Saccharomyces cerevisiae S288C: one gene and its partners. Changing the gene in region 2 together with the main gene of any one other region gives a genetic interaction. Each region holds a gene or a part of one and is shown on either strand. Other genes may lie near its edges.

Region 1 (3,914 bases), on a different chromosome or scaffold from region 2:
ACTGTCCAGCCGGTAACATTATCGGTTTAGTCGGTATCGATCAATTCTTGTTGAAGACTGGTACTTTGACCACCAGTGAAACTGCTCACAACATGAAGGTCATGAAATTCTCTGTCTCTCCAGTTGTGCAAGTCGCTGTCGAAGTCAAGAACGCTAACGACTTACCAAAATTGGTCGAAGGTTTGAAGAGATTGTCCAAGTCTGATCCATGTGTCTTGACCTATATGTCTGAATCCGGTGAACATATCGTTGCTGGTACCGGTGAATTGCATTTGGAAATTTGTTTGCAAGATTTGGAACACGACCACGCTGGTGTTCCATTGAAGATCTCCCCACCAGTTGTCGCTTACAGAGAAACTGTTGAAAGTGAATCTTCTCAAACTGCTTTGTCCAAGTCTCCAAACAAGCATAACAGAATCTACTTGAAGGCTGAACCAATTGACGAAGAAGTCTCTTTGGCTATTGAAAACGGTATCATCAACCCAAGAGATGATTTCAAGGCCAGAGCTAGAATCATGGCTGACGACTACGGTTGGGATGTCACCGATGCCAGAAAGATCTGGTGTTTCGGTCCAGACGGTAACGGTCCAAACTTGGTTATTGACCAAACTAAGGCTGTCCAATACTTGCACGAAATCAAGGATTCCGTTGTTGCTGCTTTCCAATGGGCTACCAAGGAAGGTCCAATTTTCGGTGAAGAAATGAGATCTGTCAGAGTTAACATTTTGGATGTTACTTTACATGCCGATGCTATCCACAGAGGTGGTGGTCAAATCATCCCAACCATGAGAAGAGCTACTTACGCTGGTTTCTTGTTGGCTGATCCAAAGATCCAAGAACCAGTTTTCTTGGTCGAAATTCAATGTCCAGAACAAGCCGTCGGTGGTATCTACTCCGTCTTAAACAAGAAGAGAGGTCAAGTCGTTTCTGAAGAACAAAGACCAGGTACTCCATTGTTTACCGTCAAGGCCTACTTGCCAGTTAACGAATCTTTCGGTTTCACTGGTGAATTGAGACAAGCTACTGGTGGTCAAGCTTTCCCACAAATGGTTTTCGACCATTGGTCCACTTTAGGTTCTGACCCATTGGACCCAACCTCTAAGGCTGGTGAAATTGTTCTTGCTGCTCGTAAGAGACACGGTATGAAGGAAGAAGTTCCAGGCTGGCAAGAATATTACGACAAATTGTAAGAATGGTTAAACAATTTTTAATTATTTAACTTTTTCAGTTTTTGTCGTAATGTATTGGGCACCTTTTATGTCCTTTTGACTTTTTTGTAGTTTATTCTCACGTATACTTACCATCTATAGTGTTATTTCATATTTAATCATATTTCCATATTAGATATCTGCCTTCCCCTGTATAATAGTTACTATGATTTATCTTGCTTTGCCTATTCGCGTCATCAACTTCTTTTCTTACCGATCGCGGTAATGCCCTTTAAGAGTGGCATCAACATTGGCGTAAACAAAGTTTCAAAGGATTGATACGAACACACATTCCTAGCATGAAAGCATGGAACTCTCATCAAACTTAAAAGACCTATATATTGAATGGTTACAAGAATTAGTTGACGGATTAACCCCTAAACAAGAACAACTCAAAATAGCCTATGAAAAAGCAAAAAGGAATTTACAAAATGCTGAAGGTTCATTTTATTATCCTACAGATCTAAAGAAAGTTAAGGGAATTGGCAATACAATAATAAAGAGATTAGATACGAAATTACGGAACTATTGCAAAATTCACCACATATCTCCCGTTGAGGCTCCTTCCTTAACTCAGACAAGTAGCACCAGACCACCAAAGAGGACTACTACAGCTTTGCGTAGCATAGTAAACTCATGCGAAAATGATAAGAATGAAGCTCCCGAAGAGAAGGGAACTAAAAAGAGAAAAACTAGGAAGTATATACCCAAAAAAAGATCTGGAGGCTACGCTATCCTTCTTTCCTTACTCGAGCTTAATGCCATTCCTCGAGGCGTTAGTAAAGAGCAAATCATCGAGGTTGCAGGAAAATACAGTGACCATTGTATGACTCCAAATTTCTCCACAAAAGAATTCTACGGTGCTTGGTCGTCTATTGCTGCACTTAAAAAACATTCGTTGGTTCTTGAGGAAGGTAGACCAAAACGGTATTCGCTAACAGAGGAAGGTGTAGAACTAACAAAGAGCTTAAAGACGGCAGACGGAATCTCTTTTCCAAAAGAAAATGAAGAACCTAACGAGTATTCCGTAACCAGGAATGAAAGTAGTGAATTCACAGCAAATCTGACTGACCTCCGTGGTGAATATGGTAAGGAAGAAGAGCCCTGCGATATAAATAACACTTCATTCATGCTGGATATAACTTTTCAAGATTTGAGCACGCCGCAAAGGCTGCAGAACAATGTATTTAAAAATGATAGACTGAATAGCCAAACTAATATATCTTCTCATAAATTGGAAGAGGTCTCTGATGATCAAACAGTACCTGATTCCGCATTAAAGGCTAAAAGCACAATAAAGAGGAGAAGGTACAACGGAGTAAGTTACGAATTGTGGTGTAGTGGTGATTTCGAAGTTTTCCCAATTATTGATCACAGAGAAATAAAGTCACAATCTGATCGTGAGTTTTTTTCAAGGGCATTTGAAAGAAAAGGTATGAAGTCAGAGATAAGGCAACTCGCTTTGGGTGATATTATATGGGTTGCCAAGAATAAAAATACCGGGTTGCAGTGTGTGCTCAACACCATAGTTGAAAGAAAAAGGCTAGACGATTTAGCTTTAAGTATAAGGGATAACAGGTTTATGGAGCAAAAAAATAGGTTAGAGAAATCTGGCTGTGAACACAAATACTATCTCATTGAGGAGACTATGAGTGGCAACATTGGAAATATGAATGAGGCCCTAAAGACCGCGCTTTGGGTCATTTTAGTGTATTACAAATTCTCCATGATAAGAACTTGCAATTCGGATGAAACTGTGGAAAAGATACATGCGTTGCATACTGTAATTTCTCATCACTATTCTCAAAAAGATCTCATAGTTATATTTCCAAGTGACCTTAAAAGCAAGGACGATTATAAAAAGGTGCTTCTACAGTTTCGTCGAGAATTCGAACGAAAAGGCGGTATTGAATGCTGTCATAATCTTGAATGCTTTCAAGAACTAATGGGAAAAGGCGATCTAAAGACGGTTGGTGAGCTAACTATACATGTTTTAATGCTTGTTAAAGGTATATCTTTAGAAAAAGCAGTAGCCATCCAAGAAATATTTCCTACCCTGAATAAAATACTAATGGCATATAAAACGTGCTCCTCGGAAGAAGAGGCTAAATTGTTGATGTTTAATGTACTGGGAGATGCACCTGGTGCGAAGAAAATTACTAAATCTCTTTCAGAAAAGATATATGATGCTTTTGGTAAACTTTAGCAATTTGAAATATAGTCATCCCTGCAAGGTTTTATAAAGAAAAAAGTGATGATATTCTTTTAACTAATATATACATATATAAGAAAAGAAGCCTTAATTTCTCACGGACAAATATACCAGAAGCATATCTGAAAGCCGCCCCAATGCATTATGATGCCACTTGACAACTCATCAATGGTAGGTACGAAAGACATAATGAACATCAATTCCATTATCAAAAACCCTTCCAACCTCTTCCAGTGACAAACCTTTGACTTCTGGATACCAAAAATATACGAAAAACCAGGCACAAACTGTGAAAAAAGCAAAAATGAGCATTGTATTTTCATCACCAATGGTGTTAATAGTGCTCAGATATGTCATTGAAACAAATGCATTGGTCAACCAATTTGTGCAGGCTATACATGATGCCCCAAATGATCTCCTGTTCAAGGGGAGAAATTCCACACAGGTCCATGGAACGCTGCCCATCGCAGAAGCATATGCTGCAACATAAATTA
Region 2 (8,499 bases):
CTGTGTCAATAACGCTTGGATTAGATTGCCTGAATCCCAATGCTCCTGGAATCGGCTCGAATACTTCCAGCATTTGAAATCGCTTAGCAGGATCATTGCCCCACCAACCAGCTAATCTTGGCAAACTTTCCTTAGCAGGGTCTGGTTTAGTATGCTTCGAGTGGACAAATAAGCCACCAATTCCACCAGGCCCGGCATTCAAGTACTTGTAAGAACACCAACAGGCAAAGTCAACACCCCAATCATGAAGTTGCAATGGGACGTTCCCTACAGCGTGTGCTAAATCCCATCCAACCAATATGTCGGGGAATTGGTGGGCAAATGAGGTGATTCGGCCAATATCGAAATATTGCCCCGTGTAATACTGAACACCTGACAAACAGACCAGCGCCAATTCATCTTGATTTACCTCTATGGTATCCAGGATATCTTGAGTTCTGATATAAGTCTCTCCCTCGCGTGGCTCGATCTGAATAAAAACATTCTCAGGTTCCGAAATTCCATGAATTTTGCACTGGTTGTAGAAAGCATAATAGTCTGATGGAAAGGAGCCCTTTTCAAAAAGGATCTTGAATCTTTTCTCAGTAGGTTTATAAAACGTAATTAACAATGAATTCAAATTTGCAGTGAGACTATTCATTACTGCAACTTCATTTTCTTGAGCACCCACGATGGGGGCTAGTAGTGGAAGAATAGGTAAGTCAATGCTGACCCAAGGCACCTTTCCTCTGGCTTCTTCAGGATGTTTGAAATGCGATTCCACAGCACAATCGCTCCACGCATCTAGCTCAGCATTAATTGAATTCCTAGTTGACTTCGGCATCAAACCTAAAGAATTCCCGCATAAGTACGTCACAGGCTTATCGTCGGACGATAGTCCCATGGATTTAAATGTAGGGATGTTGAATTCATCCCTCAGAGATTCCGGATATTCTCCGTCTAATTCCAAAGCTTTCTCCATAATTACCAGTTTGTTTCTTTTTTCCACAGAATATTTAGGCTTAATATGTACGTATTGACAGCATATATATTTGCTGTCTTGAATTTATTATGCTAATAAATAATTATGTTTTTCAAGCGCAGTCACCTATTTCCAAAGCGATGGGTTTGTCCGTGCCGTAGACGGCATCCCGTCGTTTTAATAACCGTTATAAAAACCGCCCCCATATTTTCGTGGGTTGACGACGACAGGCGTGGACGACGTTAATTGACGTCGTCATAATATATTTCATATTATGATTTTTTCCCTCACCATTACTTGTTCTCTCAAGTAGGAGTATCTGGCACTTGGACGGTGATGTCCTCATCAGCATCAATTGCTTCGTCTGGATATGAGAGAAAATCAGAGGATAGTGGGCCAGTGATAGTTTTTCTCCCTCGTGAAGCAGCATGTTTTACCAACTCAGAAGAAACGCCATCTTTTTCTGGGAGCGGAGACAATTTTTTTGTTCTCCGGACATTTGCAAATTGTTTTTCCAGTTCTGTCACAGCTATTTTCCCGGCTCTTTTGCGCTGTTGTTCATCTCTTTTGGCCTCAACTTTTCTCGAAGAGACTACTCTTTCCTGTTGTGTTTTTACATTTATTTTGGAGGAAATTTCCGATAATGCTATTTGGCGTTTTATTTTAATATTTGGGCTTATTAAATCAAACTTATATTTGCTGGCATTCCATATGACGCCGGTGTCATTTTTCTCTAAAAATTTCATGCCAGAAAATATTATTGATCTAATTCGCAGAACACATTCTTCTTTTGGAGAAAGCACTTTAGTCAATGTAGGGCATCCAATTATATTATTAATCATGTCGGGAGAATCATACACATAATCGTCATTAAAATCTGTTAGTGCAAAGTTAATGCAAGAAAATTCCCTGAAAATAATATCTTCTCTAAAAAGATAGCTTCTTTTCGGCCTGTGGCTATATATATTTCCTGAACAATTCAGTGGACTATTTATCAAGTCGTTCAGCAACAAGGCGAATGAAGTGCAAAACTTCCTGTGTCTGTGAGTGTACTGCAAAATAGATCTATATGACTTAATCCAGCACATAAGCAAACGAATAATGGCTAGATATCGAAAGTCTTCCATGTTTTTTTGCCAGGAGGGTTTGATGACGACGTCTATGATATTAGCAATAAAATCAAAGCTCAAGTCTAAAAAAAAAACCTGGCGCTCACTCAAATCTGCATATTTGAGTTTGTTCTTTTGTTCCTTACTTTTTCGAGTTGTAAACATAAGATCGAAACTTCCCATTGTGGCAGCCAAGTTTTCAAGTATAACATTAATATTACCTGAATGATACTTTAATGCAGCCATTTGTAAATGCTCTTTCAATAACCAACAATTAGAAGCACGTGATGCGTTCCATGACTGTGGAACCAAAGTGTGTTCTACTATCGATAGAAATTGCAAAACAATTTGACCTTCAAAGAATGATTTCTCACCTTTGAGATCTTTTGACACAAGAATTGCCAATTTTTTCATCAGACGTCTTCTTTCCGGAAAATCAGGAGTCAAAATGAAATCTTTCAAATTGTTTAACGCACATTTAGACGGAATCCTTACCAATGCTCCTCTTACTAATTCAAAGAAATACAGTGAGAATTTCCCAGTGATCAAGTAAATTTTCGCTCGTTGAAAATAAGTATCTCCAACGGCTGGGAGATAGAGTGAGGCAATATTCAAGTACCTAATAGACTTCTCAAAACCTTCCACACTCTTGGGTTTGTTAGACGGCTTGTTTAGTAGTGTTTTATAAAAATGTGTGGAACCTAGATTAATCACGCATCTTTGTAGTGAGATTACAATGGAAAACGTCAGTGGATTACTCGTGTTTAAGATAATTTTCTCATGAGTTGAAAGTCCATCTGTGTATTGCATTAAATTCAACTTCGCGAAGAGAGCATTTGAAATAACGGAATTCATATCGTACTTTGCGCATAGGTGTTCGATGATGTCATAGTAATACCTGTGTGTAATTTTGAAAAATTGAATCATTTTTTTTTGAAAAATTCTAAAAACTCTGAACTTTCTTCTGTTACTTAGTCGCATGATATCATGGAACCAGTGCTCAAACCATTGGAGTGTAGGTTCGTGAATTTGAAGCCATAAAAGTTTCAGAACCAATGGTATCACGGAATCATTTATGCGTTCGTAATTGTTATTATGGTACATATTTTCTTGTTTCAAAAGTAGCTCTTCGAGAAACCTAGTAGATTTGCGATGTATTCCATCCAGGAAGCATCTGAACGTGATATATGCATTTTCATCGCATGTCAACCTTGATGTTAGATGTTTATCCAGATGCGCACGAGCGTTCTTGAAAAATAATCTCATACATTCTTCGTTAACTTCTTCATTATCCATTATCTATGGTGGCATGTGTCATTTAATGGAATATACTTTTTCCCCTGATAAGTTTGCTAAAAACGGTCGGATCATACAGGCATGTTAACATTTCCATTATCCTTTTTGACATTGGATAATGGCGTGAACGCGAAAATCACATTGATAAAAAAAAGCAGTTTGGCGAATTAGTAACTGTCAATAAAGAGGGCATCGCTTTTGAAAGCACCTTCGTCTGTGCGCTCGCTTCAGCTACGTAAAGGTGTATTATAGACAATAATGAAAGTGCTATGTGTCGCAGAGAAAAATTCTATAGCGAAGGCAGTTTCACAGATCCTAGGAGGAGGCAGATCAACTTCAAGGGATTCCGGCTACATGTATGTAAAGAACTATGATTTCATGTTTAGTGGGTTCCCGTTTGCCAGAAATGGGGCTAACTGCGAAGTTACCATGACTAGTGTTGCAGGGCACCTAACAGGCATTGATTTCAGCCATGATTCGCATGGGTGGGGAAAATGCGCCATCCAAGAGTTATTTGATGCGCCACTGAACGAGATTATGAATAACAACCAAAAAAAGATAGCAAGCAACATCAAGCGAGAAGCGAGGAATGCAGACTATCTGATGATATGGACAGATTGCGACCGGGAAGGAGAGTACATCGGTTGGGAGATATGGCAGGAGGCCAAGAGAGGCAACAGGCTCATACAAAATGATCAAGTATACCGGGCAGTCTTTTCGCATCTCGAAAGACAACACATATTAAATGCAGCACGAAACCCAAGTCGATTGGATATGAAGAGTGTGCACGCTGTAGGCACGCGGATTGAAATCGATCTTCGAGCAGGTGTTACATTCACCAGACTCTTAACAGAAACGCTACGAAATAAACTGAGAAACCAAGCCACCATGACCAAGGATGGTGCAAAACACCGCGGTGGTAACAAGAACGACTCACAAGTCGTATCGTATGGTACATGCCAGTTTCCAACGCTCGGCTTTGTAGTAGACAGGTTTGAAAGAATACGAAATTTTGTTCCCGAAGAGTTCTGGTATATCCAATTGGTAGTCGAAAACAAAGACAACGGCGGAACAACAACGTTCCAGTGGGACAGGGGCCACTTGTTCGACCGGCTGAGCGTGTTAACGTTTTACGAGACATGCATCGAAACCGCCGGCAATGTTGCTCAAGTAGTAGACTTGAAATCAAAGCCAACAACGAAATACAGACCTTTACCTCTGACCACAGTGGAGCTACAAAAAAACTGCGCCCGGTACCTGCGTCTGAACGCCAAACAATCACTAGACGCAGCAGAAAAGCTATACCAAAAGGGGTTCATATCGTATCCAAGAACAGAGACTGATACTTTCCCACACGCAATGGACCTAAAATCCTTGGTCGAAAAGCAAGCTCAATTGGACCAACTCGCTGCAGGCGGCAGAACCGCCTGGGCATCGTACGCGGCATCGCTGCTCCAACCCGAAAACACAAGTAACAATAACAAGTTCAAGTTTCCACGAAGCGGCTCCCATGACGACAAAGCGCATCCACCAATCCACCCCATCGTAAGTCTGGGGCCTGAAGCAAATGTTTCGCCAGTGGAAAGAAGAGTATACGAGTACGTGGCCAGGCACTTTTTGGCATGCTGCTCAGAGGACGCCAAGGGCCAATCGATGACCCTTGTGTTGGACTGGGCCGTTGAACGTTTCTCAGCTTCAGGTCTCGTAGTCCTAGAGAGAAATTTCCTCGATGTTTACCCTTGGGCCCGATGGGAAACCACCAAGCAGTTACCGCGGCTTGAAATGAATGCCCTCGTAGACATCGCGAAGGCCGAAATGAAGGCGGGCACTACGGCGCCGCCCAAGCCGATGACTGAGAGTGAACTCATTCTCCTCATGGATACAAACGGCATTGGCACAGACGCCACCATTGCGGAGCACATAGACAAGATCCAAGTACGTAATTACGTTAGGAGCGAGAAAGTAGGCAAGGAAACCTACTTACAACCCACGACCCTGGGTGTCTCACTAGTGCACGGCTTCGAGGCCATCGGCCTCGAAGACTCCTTTGCAAAGCCCTTCCAGCGCAGAGAAATGGAGCAAGACCTCAAGAAAATCTGCGAAGGTCATGCCTCCAAGACTGATGTTGTAAAGGACATAGTCGAGAAGTATAGGAAGTACTGGCACAAGACGAATGCCTGCAAGAATACTCTCTTGCAAGTTTATGACCGTGTCAAGGCATCCATGTAAGGCGTTTTTGCCGCCCTTTGTCTTCAAAAAAGCTCTCCGCTTAATTGCATGATTCAGCTGACTGCATATGTGCATTTTCAGTACCAGCCGCAACTGCATCAAACCATGCAGAAGTCGCCGCCACAGAAGCTCCAGCGCGCCGCGTAAACGCATGTTGGAAGGCGCCCCAATTAGCATATTCACGCGCGACTACCAAACGCATAGGGAAGGTTTCAGAGAGCCGATGAGCAGCGGATGCACAGAGTACGGCCATAAGGCTGCAAAGCGCTTGGCAGGAATGGGCGTTTTCTAGAGGTTGCCTTATTGATTTATATGGAAGAGGAGAGGATTCATCGATCGGGCTTCTAAGGCAAATAGTATGCATACCTTTTTCGGGTAGTTGAAGAGAAAAGAGGAAGAGAATAGAAAAAAAAAAAAAGCGAAATTTTTACATCCTCTATTGTAATGTAATTTCTTTTTTTTTATTAGGTATATATGTGAGATACAATTCTCGAAGTCATCGGGAAGCTTTACCATTTCATTTCCTATTCCAGAACTCATATTAGCATCTATTGTTCTGAGATTCATCGCAACATCATTTAAAGGACTGTAGAGCCAATTGCATTATATCAATATGAGTTTCGGTAGTAAAGTCTCCAGGGCTTTGAGATTTTTGGAAATTCCTGTCAAAGACAGGGCATCTGTGAGTTTCTTGAAGAACCCGGATTTGCAACCTATTAAGTCGGCTAACCAAACATGGGGGTTCTGGTCTAATTTTGCATATTGGGGTGTTATGTCCTTTTCAGTGGGTACATGGATGAGTGCCTCTTCTGCACTAGGTGTTGGATTAAGTTACCCAGAAACCATTGGTACATTTATCGTCGGTGATGTGTTGACCATTATTTTCACATTGGCAAACTCGTGTCCTGGTTACGACTGGAAGGTCGGTTTCACTTTGGCCCAAAGATTCGTCTTTGGTATTTACGGTTCTGCCTTCGGTATCATCATCAGAATTTTGATGAGTATTGTCAACTACGGGTCCAACGCTTGGGTGGGAGGTCTTTGTATCAATATGATCTTGGATTCATGGTCTCACCATTATTTGCACCTGCCAAACACCTTATCTTCGAAAGTTGCCATGACCACTAAAGAATTAATTGGTTTTATCATCTTCCACGTCCTTACTGCATTCTGTTACTTAATGAAACCCTACCACATGAACTACATTTTAATTTGGTCGTGTGTTGCTACATTTTTCTCTATGTTGGGTATGGTGATCTATTTAGCTAAACAGGCTCACGGTGTTGGAGAATTGTTTACCTCCACTAAATCCACTGCCACTGGCTCCACCAAAGCTTGGGCTTGGGTTTATATGATCTCGTACTGGTTCGGTTCCGTTTCTCCAGGTTCCACCAACCAAAGTGATTACTCGAGATTTGGTTCCTCCAATTGGGCTATCTGGGCCGGTACCATCTGTGCATTGTTAATTCCAACCACTTTAATCCCAGTTTTTGGTGTTATTGGTGCCTCCACCTGTGACAAACTATACGGTGAACAATATTGGATGCCTATGGATATCTTCAACCATTGGTTGACAACTAACTATTCTGCAGGTGCTCGTGCCGGTGCGTTCTTCTGTGGTCTTTCATTTGTCCTATCTCAAATGTCCTACACCATCTCCAACTGTGGGTTTGCCAGTGGTATGGATTTGGCCGGTTTATTACCCAAGTATGTCGACATCAAGAGGGGTGCCCTTTTTGCCGCATGTGTCTCCTGGGCTTGTTTGCCATGGAACTTCTACAACTCTTCTTCTACTTTCTTGACTGTCATGAGTTCTTTCGGTGTTGTCATGACTCCTATCATTTCTGTCATGATTTGCGATAACTTCTTGATCAGAAAAAGACAATACTCCATCACTAATGCCTTTATTCTCAAGGGTGAATACTATTTCACTAAGGGTGTTAACTGGAGAGCTATTGTTGCCTGGGTTTGTGGTATGACCCCCGGTCTACCTGGTATTGCTTGGGAAGTCAATAATGACTATTTCCACAACACTGGTATTGTCAATTTCTTTTACGGTGACTCCTTCTTCTCGTTTTTGATCTCCTTTTTCGTCTATTGGGGACTATGCCTCCTCTTCCCATTCAAAATTACTGTCAAACATGATGACAAAGATTATTATGGTGCCTTTACTGACGAAGAAGCAAGAAAGAAGGGCATGGTTCCATACAGTGAAATTTCTGAAGAAGAAATCCGCGCTTACACATTAGGCGAAGGTTACACTACCGGCCACGAGTACAGACCTGAAGGCTCCGACGATGAAATACCTGAGTTGGTCAAAACTAGCTCTGAAAACACCAATGAGTTTGAAATAGTTCATCATAAGAATAATGAAAAGCAATCCTCCACCGCCAGTGAAAAAGCTGCTTAGTGGGAAATAAAATTGCAAAAAATAATTAAGAATAAAATTTCCCTTTCATTTAATGGCTCTCTGCACTAATTTTTTTACCTACGAAATTTTCCTTCGTTCACACTTAATATTAAATAACAGCTCTTTCCTAATAATAACATATACACTAGATATATAATACCAAATAAATTAAAAAAAAAGAAAAACAAAAAATAACGTAGCTTTGTTACAGTCGTAAAAAAAAGAACAATAAACCAATCTTATTGCCAGCGTCTAACTAGTCCTATTATATTCCAATATATTAAGGGGTAAGGACTACTATTATTCGCCCTGAATTGAAATCTTTTAGAAAGCACCTGTTCTCTCTCTGGTGTTCTTTTTTTCTCATCTATTATCTAATTTCTTCAACCTTCGTTATTTGTTGTTATTCCGTAATCGTGGTGCTCAACTTTTGAAATTTCACTTGTTTACCATAACGGAACATAATTAAAAATTTGTTCTTGAAAGTCACAAGC
Region 3 (4,157 bases), on a different chromosome or scaffold from region 2:
AACCAACGTCCTATCACATGCATTCTCCAAATCATGGCTTGAAAGATAATGCAAATGTTAAACCAGAAAGGAAGGTAGTCGTCAGCAACAGCTATGAAGGCGACGTTGAAAGCATAGAAAAATTCCTATCGACTTTCAAAATTTTACCTCCTCTGAGAGATTATAAGGAGTTTGGGCCTATTCAAGAGATTGTACGGAGTCCAAACATGGGTAATTTGAGGGGCAAGTTGATAGCTACTTTGATGGAAAACGAACCCAATTCTATTACGTCTTCTGCTGTTTCTCCAGGAGAAACACCCTATTTAATAACAGGTTCAGATCAAGGTGTAATCAAGATTTGGAACCTGAAAGAGATTATCGTGGGCGAGGTTTACTCTTCTTCTTTAACTTATGACTGCTCCTCTACCGTAACTCAGATAACCATGATTCCTAACTTTGACGCGTTTGCCGTTTCCAGTAAAGATGGACAAATAATTGTATTAAAGGTTAATCATTACCAACAAGAAAGTGAAGTCAAATTTTTGAATTGCGAATGCATCAGGAAAATTAACTTGAAGAATTTTGGTAAAAATGAATACGCAGTGAGAATGAGAGCATTTGTGAATGAGGAAAAATCTCTACTAGTAGCATTGACGAATTTGTCAAGGGTTATTATATTTGATATTAGAACCCTGGAGAGGTTACAAATTATAGAGAATTCTCCAAGGCATGGTGCCGTTTCAAGCATCTGTATCGATGAAGAGTGTTGTGTCCTAATTTTGGGGACGACTAGAGGTATTATTGATATATGGGATATCCGTTTCAACGTGCTGATAAGGAGTTGGTCCTTTGGGGACCACGCACCAATCACGCATGTGGAGGTTTGTCAGTTTTATGGAAAGAATTCTGTAATTGTTGTAGGAGGTAGTTCAAAAACATTTCTAACAATATGGAATTTTGTTAAGGGGCATTGTCAGTATGCTTTCATAAATTCTGATGAACAGCCATCTATGGAGCACTTTTTACCAATTGAGAAAGGCTTAGAAGAATTAAATTTTTGTGGAATCAGGTCTTTAAACGCACTAAGCACTATCTCAGTATCTAATGATAAAATTCTTCTTACCGATGAAGCAACAAGTTCCATTGTTATGTTTAGCCTAAATGAGCTTTCTTCTTCTAAAGCAGTAATAAGTCCTTCAAGATTCAGTGACGTTTTTATTCCTACACAAGTTACGGCAAATCTCACAATGTTATTGAGAAAAATGAAACGTACTAGCACTCATTCAGTAGATGATTCTCTATATCATCATGATATTATAAATTCTATATCTACATGTGAAGTTGATGAGACACCTTTGCTGGTTGCTTGTGATAACTCAGGGCTTATTGGAATCTTCCAATAATTTTTTTTATTTTATTCAGCTTCTTTATTCTAAATGCGTATAAATTTGTATTCACCTTAAACATTTTCGATCATTTAGGAAAGGGCTTGCAACGCGTTGAAGTACCCTTTTCACGAAAAAAATGGTTGTATACGTAAATAAAGAACAATGTATGGATTATGGTATAGAATAATAGTAGTCACATATTGCAGCTAGTTAAATGAGCCAGATCGTTGATTTTGTTGAGGACAAAGATTCAAGAAACGATGCCAGTATTCAGATCATCGATGGACCCTCAAATGTTGAAATTATCGCTCTCTCGGAATCAATGGATCAAGATGAGTGCAAAAGGGCACATGTAAGCTCTGCAGAGATGATTCCATCATCACCGCAAAGAAAATCTGTTTCGAATGATGTTGAGAATGTTGACCTAAACAAATCTATCGAACTTTCTGCGCCGTTCTTCCAAGATATCAGTATAAGCAAGCTAGATGACTTTTCTACAACAGTAAATTCCATCATAGATTCGTCTCTCAGAAATGAGAATAATGCAAAAGGAAACGCGAAAAAACTTTTGGATGATCTAATAAGTGATGAATGGTCAGCTGATCTTGAGTCGAGTGGAAAGAAGCACAACAAATCACAATACAATTTGAGGGACATCGCAGAGAAATGGGGAGTACAGTCTTTAAAAAATCCAGAGCCTATTGCTGTTGACTGCGAATATAAGACACAAGGAATCGGAAAAACCAATAGTGACATTAGTGATAGTCCGAAATCACAGATAGGAGCAGCTGATATACTGTTCGATTTTCCACTGTCTCCAGTAAAACATGAGAACCCAACTGAAGAAAAGCACAATTCGATTGCTAATGAAAATTCTTCACCAGATAATAGCCTGAAACCAGCAGGAAAACAAAATCATGGTGAAGATGGGACATCCATGGCAAAAAGGGTATACAATAAAGGTGAAGACGAGCAAGAACACCTTCCGAAAGGAAAGAAGAGAACCATAGCGTTATCAAGAACACTAATCAACAGCACCAAACTACCTGATACAGTAGAACTAAATCTTTCTAAATTTCTCGATTCCTCAGATAGTATTACTACTGATGTACTTTCAACCCCTGCAAAGGGGTCTAACATAGTAAGGACAGGTAGTCAACCAATCTTTAGCAACGCTAATTGTTTTCAGGAAGCAAAACGCTCGAAAACATTAACGGCTGAGGATCCCAAATGTACTAAAAATACTGCCAGAGAGGTATCACAACTAGAGAATTATATTGCCTATGGGCAATACTATACTAGAGAAGACTCAAAAAACAAAATACGACACTTGTTAAAAGAAAACAAAAATGCTTTTAAGCGAGTTAACCAGATATATCGAGATAATATAAAAGCACGCTCTCAAATGATTATAGAGTTTTCGCCTAGCCTTCTCCAGTTATTTAAAAAAGGAGACAGTGATCTGCAACAACAATTGGCACCAGCAGTTGTGCAATCAAGCTATAACGATTCTATGCCGCTTTTAAGATTTCTTCGAAAATGTGACAGTATTTACGACTTTAGTAACGATTTCTATTACCCCTGTGATCCCAAAATAGTTGAAGAAAACGTTTTGATTCTATATTATGATGCGCAAGAATTTTTTGAACAATACACTTCACAAAAGAAAGAATTATATAGGAAGATACGATTTTTCTCAAAGAATGGAAAACATGTGATTCTTATACTAAGCGATATAAATAAACTCAAAAGAGCTATTTTCCAATTAGAAAATGAAAAGTACAAAGCTAGGGTAGAACAACGATTGTCAGGAACAGAAGAAGCTTTAAGACCGAGAAGTAAAAAATCAAGCCAAGTTGGAAAATTAGGGATAAAAAAATTTGATTTAGAGCAACGATTGCGCTTCATTGATAGAGAATGGCATGTCAAAATACATACTGTAAATTCACATATGGAGTTTATTAATTCTCTGCCGAACCTAGTGTCATTAATTGGAAAACAGCGCATGGATCCCGCAATTCGGTATATGAAATATGCTCATTTGAATGTAAAATCCGCTCAGGATAGTACAGAAACGCTAAAGAAAACCTTTCATCAGATAGGGAGAATGCCTGAAATGAAGGCGAATAATGTCGTGAGCCTATACCCCAGTTTTCAATCATTACTTGAAGATATTGAAAAGGGAAGACTGCAATCAGACAACGAAGGTAAATACTTGATGACTGAGGCAGTAGAAAAAAGATTGTACAAACTGTTTACTTGTACTGATCCAAATGATACTATTGAATGATGATCGAACGAAACTTTGTATATAAGAACATACCTTAAGGCAGTCGTTTTGAAAATCACTGCAGCTCTATTTCCCCCTCCTTACCTTTTTAATGAATTCCATTTTACAGAAAGTACTATTGATAAATATTCGTAATAAAATAAAACAGTGTTAATAATAAATGTTCGAGATTCCGGTTAAAGATAATATGAAATGGTGAATGTAATATCATTTTATTTCTACGGACGTAATCATAATACATACTTTACGGCTAAATAATCGTCTTCATTAAGTCTGTCCTTTAGAGGCTCGATATGTTTGTAACCTTCGTTCAATTTGTGCAATTCCTGTTCATTAAATTTTATTCCGGAAGATATCAGGTGAGAGAGAAAAGACAGAACTCTATCTATGATGTTCAAGTTACTCTCGTCAGACAAGCACTCAATCGTACTTTCAATTACTCCATCCTTTCTCAGCACACTGATTATATTTTCATCAATCTTAACAGATGACAAATATGC

The links. Genes that interact genetically often act in the same process or in processes that back each other up.
Region 1: mutations in TOP3 (region 2) and MUS81 are lethal when combined (synthetic lethality), as found in Saccharomyces cerevisiae (6 studies listed by BioGRID, with this or other methods).
Region 3: mutations in TOP3 (region 2) and MMS4 are lethal when combined (synthetic lethality), as found in Saccharomyces cerevisiae (5 studies listed by BioGRID, with this or other methods).

What each region holds. Positions count from the first base shown.
Region 1 is NC_001136.10:1,244,569-1,248,482, forward strand, and holds MUS81 (Mus81p), read left to right. Parts: upstream 1-1,515; coding exon 1,516-3,414; downstream 3,415-3,914. Other genes in the region: EFT2 (elongation factor 2), read left to right, coding at 1-1,190; CIN10 (Cin10p), read right to left, coding at 3,586-3,914.
Region 2 is NC_001144.5:606,159-614,657, forward strand, and holds TOP3 (DNA topoisomerase 3), read left to right. Parts: upstream 1-3,624; coding exon 3,625-5,595; downstream 5,596-8,499. Other genes in the region: BNA5 (kynureninase), read right to left, coding at 1-961; EST1 (Est1p), read right to left, coding at 1,267-3,366; YLR236C (uncharacterized protein), read right to left, coding at 5,636-5,959; thiamine transporter THI7, read left to right, coding at 6,209-8,005. UniProt on the Saccharomyces cerevisiae protein: Releases the supercoiling and torsional tension of DNA introduced during the DNA replication and transcription by transiently cleaving and rejoining one strand of the DNA duplex.
Region 3 is NC_001134.8:439,934-444,090, forward strand, and holds MMS4 (Mms4p), read left to right. Parts: upstream 1-1,581; coding exon 1,582-3,657; downstream 3,658-4,157. Other genes in the region: ubiquitin-binding serine/threonine protein kinase VPS15, read left to right, coding at 1-1,382; Hsp70 nucleotide exchange factor FES1, read right to left, coding at 3,888-4,157. UniProt on the Saccharomyces cerevisiae protein: Interacts with MUS81 to form a DNA structure-specific endonuclease with substrate preference for branched DNA structures with a 5'-end at the branch nick.